Linked DNA regions of Caenorhabditis elegans. The protein of the gene in region 2 purifies or fractionates together with the protein of the main gene of each other region. This does not show direct contact. Each region holds a gene or a part of one and is shown on either strand. Other genes may lie near its edges. The genes, in order: faxc-1 and spd-3.

Region 1 (4,700 bases), on a different chromosome or scaffold from region 2:
TTCCAAAAATATGTGCAAAGTTCTCAACTGATTTCGTATGGTCAAGAAAGTGCTGACGTAACATATTTTTGGGAAAAAAAATTCCCGCATTTTTTGTAGATCAAATCGTAATATGACATCCCGGCATTACGTGGTTAGGTACATTTGGTAAAACTACCTTAAAGGTACCTACATAAATCGAGTTGAAATCGCCAGATAATTAACTTGAATACCGAAAATTAGACGGTGATTTCAAAAAAGTTAGTTTCCAGTCGCTGACAAATTTCAGTCAAATTTCAAATTTAATTAGGTCATTTTTGAGCCGCCATAACTTTTTTTGAGCAGTTTCCAAGAATTGTCATTATGAAATTCAGGGTGTTTTCAGACAATTTCAAGTCTAATAAATCAATAAATTGCTCATTGTTGTTGTTCTGTTTCGTAGGAAAATCGTGCTTCTTCCTGTGAAATTCTCGGCAAAATCGAATAAAATTCCTTTGTTCCAATTTTTTTTGTTTTCAAAACTTGTCAATTCCGAAACCCCAATTTTTCAATAAATGAATAAATCATCATGATCACCAATGTAAACCGGAATCCCCTTCCCAGTACCATCCATCAAACTTCCAATTCACTGAACACCGATACACCTTCTCTCTCTCATTACACTTTGCCTATTCACCCACAAGAACCTTGGCAATGTGCCAAGTCGGTTGGAGAGAGGTTACCCGCTATCACTCGACCAGATCGACCTTCAGGCGGTGGCGGTGGCGGGAAGGAGGAGGTCATATTTGTTAGGTTCGCCTAAACTGTCATATAGTTTCTCTCTCTCTCTCTCTTGACTCCTTTTTCGTTTTGTTTTGTCTCTTGTTGCTGCTGCAGCAGCTAACCGGCGCTTTTATGGGTGCACCTACAAATCAAACATGACTAATCGCTTTCGTTATTGTCTTCATTGTTATGATTGGTTTGGAAATTACTTTTTTTCCCCCAAAATTTGCTTTTTTAACTTCTCTTCAATGCTCCTTTATGATAGGTTTGAAAATTCCTTCTCGATGATTGTTCACTTTTTCGGAAAAAGTTCTTCTTTACCAATTGGCAAGTTTTTTTCGGCAAAAAAAAGTGGTGGCCGAGTTTTCACTCTTCCATCTCCATGGTACCAGAGAGTCCTATTTTGGTTTGATCTACGTCGATCTACAAAAAAATGCGGAAACTGATTTCGCATGGTTAAAGGTGGACTAACGGTTCGGACGATTTTGAACGTATACACAAAATGAGCACAAATGAACGAATTTCGTAATGAAACTGCTCAAAAATTTTCAAAAATGTTTTATGGTGGTTCAAAATTTTGAAAAAATTACACTGATTTTAGCTAAAATCTCGAATTTTGCCTATTTTTTGGTGTCACATCGGTCCGAAGTTGACTTTTTCGGAATTATCATCCTTTATTGCATATTTCGGTAGTTTATCTCATTTAATCTCGTCGATTAAGGTACATTTAAAGCCGATAGGTAACCAATTTTGATGATTTTTGGTTACCTATCGGCTTTAAATGTATTTTAATCAACGAAATTAAATAAGATAAACTACTAAAATATGCAATAAAGGATGATAATTCCGAAAAAGTCAACTTCGGACCGATGTGACACCAAAAAATAGGCAAAATTCGAGATTTTAGCTAAAATCAGTGGAATTTTTCGAAATTTTGAACCGCCATAAAAAAAATATTTTGAACAATTTTTGAGCAGTTTCATTACGAAATTATTTCATTTGAGCTCATTTTGGGTCTATACGTTCAAAATCGTCCGAACCGTTAGTCCTCCTTTAAGAACGTGCTGACGTCACATTTTATTAGGGCAAAAAAATCCCGCATTTTTTTTGTAGATCAAACCGTAGCATTGCACCACATTTTCGTGCTCAATTAGAAATTTTCACTTCTCTGGGACAACCGTATTTTGATTTGGAAATTGAAACATTTCCAAATTGAGATAATTGATTTTCTCTCGAAATTGAGTGTTTTATTGATCCTTCCTTCCTTCCTATACAGAAAAATGCTTCAAATTCCTCTCTCTATCTGTCATCATTATCATCTCTCATTCCGCTGTCAATAATCACATTCACATCGTCCAGATCAATTTTGATTCTAATTCAAGGTGACGATGCCATCGACCAACTTGACGAAACGCGACTGGGAGAAGGATCACGTGTACTTGGTGCAGTTTCCGAGAGCCGGATGCATTCCATCGCCGTCTCCGTACGCGTTCAAGGTGGAGACGTTCTTGCGTGTCGCCGATATTCCGTACACGGTAAGTGAGGGCAAAACAAGAAAAGTCGAAAATTCACGGTTTGATCTACAAAAATGCGGGGATTTTTCGCCCTAATAAAATGTGACGTCAGCAAGTTCCTAACCATGCGAAATCAGTTAAGAACTCTGCGTTTCATTTTCCCGCATTTTTTGAAGATCTACGTAGATCAAGCCGAAATGAGACACTCTGATATTACGTGGAAAAATCGACAATTTAACGTGACAGAGTGTCCCATTTTGGTTTGATCTACGTAGATCACGAGAATTGCGGGAGAAGAGACGCAGCAGACTTCTCAACTGATTTCGCATGGTTAAAAACGTGCTGACGTCACATTTTGGGGGGGGGGGGGGGGGAATTCCCGCATTTTTTGTAGATCAAGTGTCAATTCGGTCTTTAGAAACCCATTTAAGATCCAACTTAGAATTGAATAAATTTCAAAAATTCGGCTTTTGCATCAGCTATTGCTTTTTTGCTGAGCTCTCCTAGCCTTCCTGACGGCGTTAAACCCATCAACTTTCAGAACATCAACAACGAGTTCAAAAAGATGTCGGCTCGCGGTCAAATCCCATTCATCGAGCTGAACGGTCGCCAGCACGCTGACAGCACCATCATCATCGACAATCTGACCGAGCACTTCCACAAGTCGGATCTCGAGGATCTCTCCGCTTCCGACAAGGCCATCGCGCGAGCATTCTTCGCACTTCTCGAGCATCATCTGTGCTGGGTGAGCTTGTACTCTCGCGGTCAGGACTTTGGATGGCTAGCCACTGACACCGGATTCGGACGTTTGTTGACCGGAATCAAGGGGTTCGCATTCAAGAACTTTATCGTCAAAAGCTTCACGAAAAAGGTTCGCGGACGTGCTGCCGCTCAAGGAATGGGAACTTTCTCCAGGGAGGAGGTGTTGGATCAGGCGAAGAAGGACTTGGACGCCATTTCGACACAGTTGGGCGATAAGCCGTATCTCTTCGGAAGCAGCATCAAGACGGTGAGTGATTAGGCTTGGCAGGTTCTGGCTGTCCCATTACGGTTTGATCTACGGAAAATGCGGGGGAATATTTCGCCAAAGAAAAATGTGACGTCAGCACGTTCTTAACCATGCGAAATCAGTGGAGAACTCTGCGTCTCTTCTCCTGCATTTTTTGTAGATCTATGTAGATCAAGCCGAAATGAGACACTTTGACACCACCTGAGTAGAACGGAGTACTTCATTTCAAGGATGGACGTTAAAAATGGATCCCGTGTCCTAGAGATGATCGGAAAACTTTTCCGATTTCTGGTGTAAACTCGAGCATCCAGGTGGTTTGATCTACGTAGATCTACAAAAAAACTGCGGGAGAAGAGACGCTTTCGTATCGTTAAGAACGTGCCGACACCACATAGTTTTGGGCAAAAAATTCCCGCACTTTTTGTAGATCAAACCGTAATGGGACAGATTACTAAGCTTCAAATTCCAGATCGATGTGACCGCATTTGCTCATCTCGCCGAGCTCATCTACACACCACAATTCAGCCCGGAAATCCGTGCCTACATCGACGAGAAGGTTCCGAATGTGATGGAATATGTGATCCGTATCAAGGAGAAGTATTGGCCAGATTGGGAGGAGACCACGAATACGATGAATATGGCAACGGTGTGGAAGAAGGCATAATCACTTTTTTTTTTGATTTTATTAATCCCAATTACCAAAAAAAAAAACCAAAGTTCACCAAAGAATCTATCATTCCGAATTATTTGAATAAAGTTTGAAAATTATGAAACTAACCAACAGATAATGCGCGACATCAAAGTAGGGATACATCTTGAGCCGGTGCAATTGAGCACCGGCGTCGAGAAGAATCTCCTGATCGAGCTGAAAACTCTCCGGCACCACCATCGTTTGAGCAGGTCGTCGGCCTGAAAATGTGATGTAGAATTTGGGTGGATATCCGAAATTTGTCAATTGGAAGGAAAAATTGTTTTTTTTTTTCGTAAAAAATCGGAAAAAACGTTGATCTGGAAAATTCAAAATTTATTTTTTTTTTTGGCAAAATTAAAAATCATTTTATGAAAATGTAAAAGATTCTATTAATTTTTTTCAGAAAATTCGATTTTTTACAAATTTTTTTTTGAAATAAATGACAGAAAAGTCTCAATACACGTGGTGTCAGAGTGTCTCATTTCGGCTTGATCTCCGTTGATCTACAAAAAATGCGGGAGAAGAGACGCAGAGTTTTCAACTGATTTCGCATGGTTAAGAACGTGCTGACGTCACATTTTTTTGGGACAAAATTCCTGCATTTTTTGTAGATCAAACCGTAATAGGACAGCCTGGCACCACGTGTCAATTTTTCTAAAAATTCTTTTTTTTATTAATTTTGCAACAAAAAAATCAAATTCATTGTGATTTTTTGGTTTTCCATTTGTAATTTGAATAAATAATT
Region 2 (5,068 bases):
ATTCTTCTGCTTCTTTTTTTTCTTCCAATTTCTTTTTCGGCACAAACAAATCGCATTGTTTGTTCTCTCTTTTTTTATTTCTTTTCTGATGGATGGAAATCAAAGAAAATGAGTGGAAAAGAAAAGATGAAAGGGTCAAGAGTTTTGAGTAAAGTACCAAGTTATTGAGGATTTGACATTTTCTTTTCGGACGAAATTTTGAAGAGAACAGGTAAATATACTGGGAAATAAATCACAAAACTTCTACAGGACACAGTTTTCAAGTGGGGTGTTTATTATTGTACATTAAAAATGTCAAATGCTCCAATCGAAATTTCCTTTTTTCCGGGTCTTACAACGCATTAACCTGAAATTTACAAACTTTTCCTTTGTTTCATTCTGCATTTGTAAATCTTTATTTTTGATTTTCAAATATCAATGAAGATTTGTAGAGTTTTCAACAGTAGCAAAAAAACACAATATCACTGATATCAGTGTCTAGAAATGTACATAAATTTAAGACTAGAGTTTCTCAAATTTGTAAGCAGTGGAGCCGAGATCATTAAAAAGAGAATTATAAGCGAGACTGAAACTATTTGCTAATTTTACTGTGCTTATTATAACAAAAGCTTGAAACCGTAAAATTTTAAATTCCAAAAACATTCATATTCCACAAAACAGCAACATTTTTCATATAAAGCTCACAATAGATTGATCTTCAGTGTCTGCCAAAATGCATAAGCTGGAAAGTCAAATAAAAAAAGTCAGGAATCACAAAAAATGTTTATTAGCCTACGAGCTTCCCGTTGTGCATTCGACATAAAATACGGTGTTATATAAATTGAAAATCAATTAAAAATTATTCAATAATATCATCATCGACTCGTCTCAATTTCAAAGATTTCAGAAAGTCGTCATTATTAGCATCATGATGAATCCCTGCACTCATTTCAGCATCCTTCCTCCAGTCATATGGATCCGGATCTTCACCATCACCAGATGCTATCGCTTCAAATGTCTGTAAAATCCATCATAACTTCTTAATCTTAATATCAGCACATACTTCTTCATCTTCCTTCTGCTCCAATTGATGCTCATCAACTCCATAGAACTTTGCCAGTGCAGTCCTTTCTCGTTTCGCAAAATCTGTCCTCCGTGGCTCCAATACCATTTTCAGCTCTCCAAAAAGACTTGCTTCATGACAACGTCCTTCAGATCCATCTAGGAGAACATCTCGAGCTACTGCACTTTTTGAAGCAGATAGTTTATCAGCTTCTGATAAGGGAGTTCCTTCGAATACCTGAAACAAATAGTTTCCTGACGGAAAATAAAATAATATTTACCATATCTATATCAGTCCTTTCTCCTGTGCCCTTCTCGATAACGATCACTTCTGGATTCTTTTGATCTTGATTTTTCACCTCTACATCAATTTTCTTCACAGGTTGTGGAAATGCTGGTTCAGCCTTGACGACAAGAAAAGTTTTATGTAATGCTGATTCAACTTCTGATTGAGTAACACTTTCAGATTCCAATCTAAAAAAACAGTAATTTATATTTCAATTTTAACCTTTTCAACCTTTCCAAAATAGCTTCTAGTGCAAGTGCAGTTTGTTGCTTCCATCCCAATTCTAATAAAGATTTATTTTTCATTTTTCCGTCCATTTTTCTTTCATTTCTCGAAAGTTTTGTTTCAGTCTTCAATGCAAGTCTTTCAACAGATTCCAAATTGTACATCAATTCTTGAAGACGTCCCAAAGTTTCAAAAAATTTTGAAACTTTTTTTGACTCGAATACGGGCGAATTCAGAAAATTGAGGATCACAACACGGGAATATTCACTTGCATGAAGTTTGAATATCGATATCAATGTCTGAAATTTTTATTCAAATTCAAAATTTCTCACTAGCTGGTAGTGAGAAAGTGATTTTTTCTTAAATGCGAAATCATGTATTTGGGTCTGAAACGATTGAAACTTTTCAGCCACTCACGAGTACGGTCGATTTTCTTTTTCTCTGAATTCTGTCTTGATTTTAAATGCATTAAATTTTTTTTGTAATAATTTGTATGGTAACTAAAAAATTTAAATGTGTCAAGACCCAAAAACGCAATTTAACTTTTTTAAAAAATTATCTGAAATACCTCAAAAACTTGTTCAAAATCCATTTTATCATTATCTCCTTCTTGAATTTCCTCAATTTTCAGTAATTGTGAATCTACAGTACTCCTTGAAATGATTTCTCGAATCTCATCAGTATATAAATCCTGCCACGTGGTACCATTATTCAGTGATTTCGTCTCTTCTGTGAGACATTCAATGGCTGAAACTGTAAGACGACAAGCACGAAGAATCGATGGATGACGATGACGTGGCATGCACATTGAGATACTGGAAAACTTCTGATTTGTTTAAATGAAATGATTACTTTTACACTCTCATCCGAATTATTATTACAGGTACACAATATTCTGAGAACGCGTATTGCGCAGTATAAAGGACGCGCAAAATATCTAGTAGCGAAAACTACAGTAGTTGTTTAAATGACTACTGTAGCGCTTGTGTCGATTTACGGGCTCGATTTTCGTATTGATTTAAAATTATTCATTTATCTGAAGAATATTAAATTTGAGAAAATAAAATATGATACAATTTTACGCAGGAAAATGGAATATCGCTGTCTCTATTCAAAAATCGAGCACGCAAATCTTCACCATGGCTACTGTAGTCATTTGAAGAATTACTGTAGTTTTCGCTTCGAGATATTTTGCGGGTCATATATAAATACTCAGAATTTTGTATTCTCGTAATAATAAGTACCTAAAGAAAATTTGTCTTCTTTTCCGTAGAGCTGATCTTGTTTTATTCATTTGTAGAATAAGTTTTCGAACAGTTTTCACTCTCTTCTTAAACCATAAATATCCGCAAGTAATTGTGCCACCAGCAGTCAGAGCAAGTCCTTAAATATTAATCATTTATTTTTAATTTGATAATCAGCGTCTCATTAACCTGCTTCAATTGCTGGTATTTTCCAATCAATTTTTCCAGATATATACAAAGCTACAGTAGCCCCACCAATTGCGATTACTGTCGATGACACTAACCATCTGAAACTACTTGAACCATCTTCAAGTTCCTGATGTTCTAAAATCTTTTCTTCGACTGTCATTTGATCCATCTCTTCGAAAACTCGGTCTGAATCGAGAAAAACAAAAATCCGCCGTGAAAGCCATGACGAAAATGACATATAAAGTTTTTATCTGAAAATCTATTTTTGAAGTTTTAATTGAAAGAAAACGATGACTTTAAGATAAAATGTGTTCCGATGGATCGATTTCATGCTGTTTGTATGAATTAAACAATTTTCAGAAAGAAAGCAATTCATCATTTGAAATGGTTTCCAAAAAACGGAAACAACTCAGGATTAAAAATATTTAGGGACCGGAAGAGACAGACAAAAATACCACGAAAAAAAATTAACGTAGCACATAATCCGATAAAATTGATAGAATTAGGAAACTACTAAACATGACATTTTCAAACGGGATTTCGAGAAAAAAAGAAAAATGGTTCAGTGTGAAACATACTGATTAATAATTAAGATGGGAAGCACATAGGCTTAAATCGTTGAAAATGATTTTAAAAAAAGAAAGGCTAGGATGGGTAAAACGACATCAGAAACGAATTAAAAGTAGAATAACCTATAGAGACACACAAACACCGTATCGTTAGAAGATTTTAGAAGAGATTTGGAGGAAGAGATAGAAAAAATAAGATACCACAAATAATACGCGAAAATATCTCCATAAATTTGATTGGACGAATATGAAAACATTCGAGTAAATTAAAAGTGAGAAATCACAGAAGCGAATAAGCATATGAAAAACGGGGGGCAAAAGGGAAACCATGGAACTCCATAGAAAATGGTTCAGACACATGAAAAAATGAATGTGAGAAAGACACTAAAAACACACAAAATAAAATGATTGGCGGTGAAAAATAATTCGAGCAAATGGGGGATAAAGCTCAAACTGAAATGGAGCGAAGCGAGGAAAGAACACCGCCGCGATGTTACTGGGAGAATCGTTTCCTACCCGACAAAAATGTTCAAATTTGTACCAGAAACTACGCACAAGCACATCTTTCAAACATTTTACTTTTCATAACGAAAACTTGGACATTTTTGTCGGAGGACGCCTTCAATCTTCCTCCATCTCCATATTTTCGTCAACTTGATGGCGAGACGATGAAGCTGATGATGTTGCAGATGAAATTGTTGGAGCAGCTCCTCTTTTCGGTCGACTATGAAGAGCTGAAAATATTACAGTTTAATAAAAACTTGAATTTTTGGAACCTACATTCAGATACTGCTGATGGCTCAATCGGTTTTCCATTTGAATCCAATTTGCGTCTTCGGTATACAAGAATGTAGGGATCGCTCGACTCATAGGGTTCAGCTGGAGGATATGTCGGATTTGCTGAGGAATCGTTGAAATCAAACCTGAAAGTCGAGTCAAATAAAAATGTTTTAAAATTAGATTCACTATCTAAAAGAAGGTGCATTTTCAAAAACCTACCATTTCTGTTCCCTGTCGTTGTAGCCTATGGCAGTGTAATGACCTCCACTCAAGGATCCATAGTGACGTGATACGGCAATAAGGTCGTAGATCGCTTTCTCGTGATTCGGATTGGCAACTTTGTCGGTAAGATCCAACCCACGAACAGGAATCACAACCTCCCATGTCAGCTTCTCACGAGACCACTTGGTGTATTGGAAACGTTTCAAGTGGAGAATGAGAATCTCCGGAAGCTTCCACAGAGCTAATTGCTTCGTGGCTCGCTCGTGTTTCTTGCATTGAGGACAGTACCACGAATCCTGTTCTCCGAGTTGTTCTTTCGTTGTGAACCAGTCCAGAGTCTCTTGCAAAAGAACTTTCCGACGAGTAGAAACGGTCATCTCGCGTTCTATCAACTCATTTCCCTTGTATTGATTGAAAATCTTGAGATCCTTCCATTGGAAAACGATTTGTAGGAAGTTACTGTAAATGTCATGAGAATTTTCATCAGGGAACGGGATTGGATCGTCCGTTGG

What was found.
Region 1: the proteins of spd-3 (region 2) and faxc-1 purify together in Caenorhabditis elegans (affinity purification with mass spectrometry, with the first as the bait; one study listed by BioGRID). This does not show direct contact.

The regions. Positions count from the first base shown.
Region 1 is NC_003280.10:12,262,069-12,266,768, forward strand, and holds faxc-1 (GST N-terminal domain-containing protein), read left to right. Parts: upstream 1-2,123; 5' UTR 2,124-2,129; coding exon 2,130-2,276; intron 2,277-2,796; coding exon 2,797-3,264; intron 3,265-3,733; coding exon 3,734-3,928; 3' UTR 3,929-4,037; downstream 4,038-4,700. Other genes in the region: tric-1B.1 (Trimeric intracellular cation channel type 1B.1), read right to left, coding at 4,043-4,153.
Region 2 is NC_003282.8:6,760,884-6,765,951, reverse strand, and holds spd-3 (Spindle defective protein 3), read right to left. Parts: upstream 3,237-5,068; 5' UTR 3,155-3,236; coding exon 2,986-3,154; intron 2,936-2,985; coding exon 2,797-2,935; intron 2,368-2,796; coding exon 2,121-2,367; intron 1,852-2,120; coding exon 1,559-1,851; intron 1,516-1,558; coding exon 1,323-1,515; intron 1,280-1,322; coding exon 1,043-1,279; intron 998-1,042; coding exon 839-997; 3' UTR 752-838; downstream 1-751. Other genes in the region: usp-4 (Ubiquitin carboxyl-terminal hydrolase), read right to left, coding at 4,176-4,288, 4,335-4,477, 4,554-5,068. UniProt on the Caenorhabditis elegans protein: In the first mitotic division in embryos, required for mitotic spindle alignment and asymmetric cell division.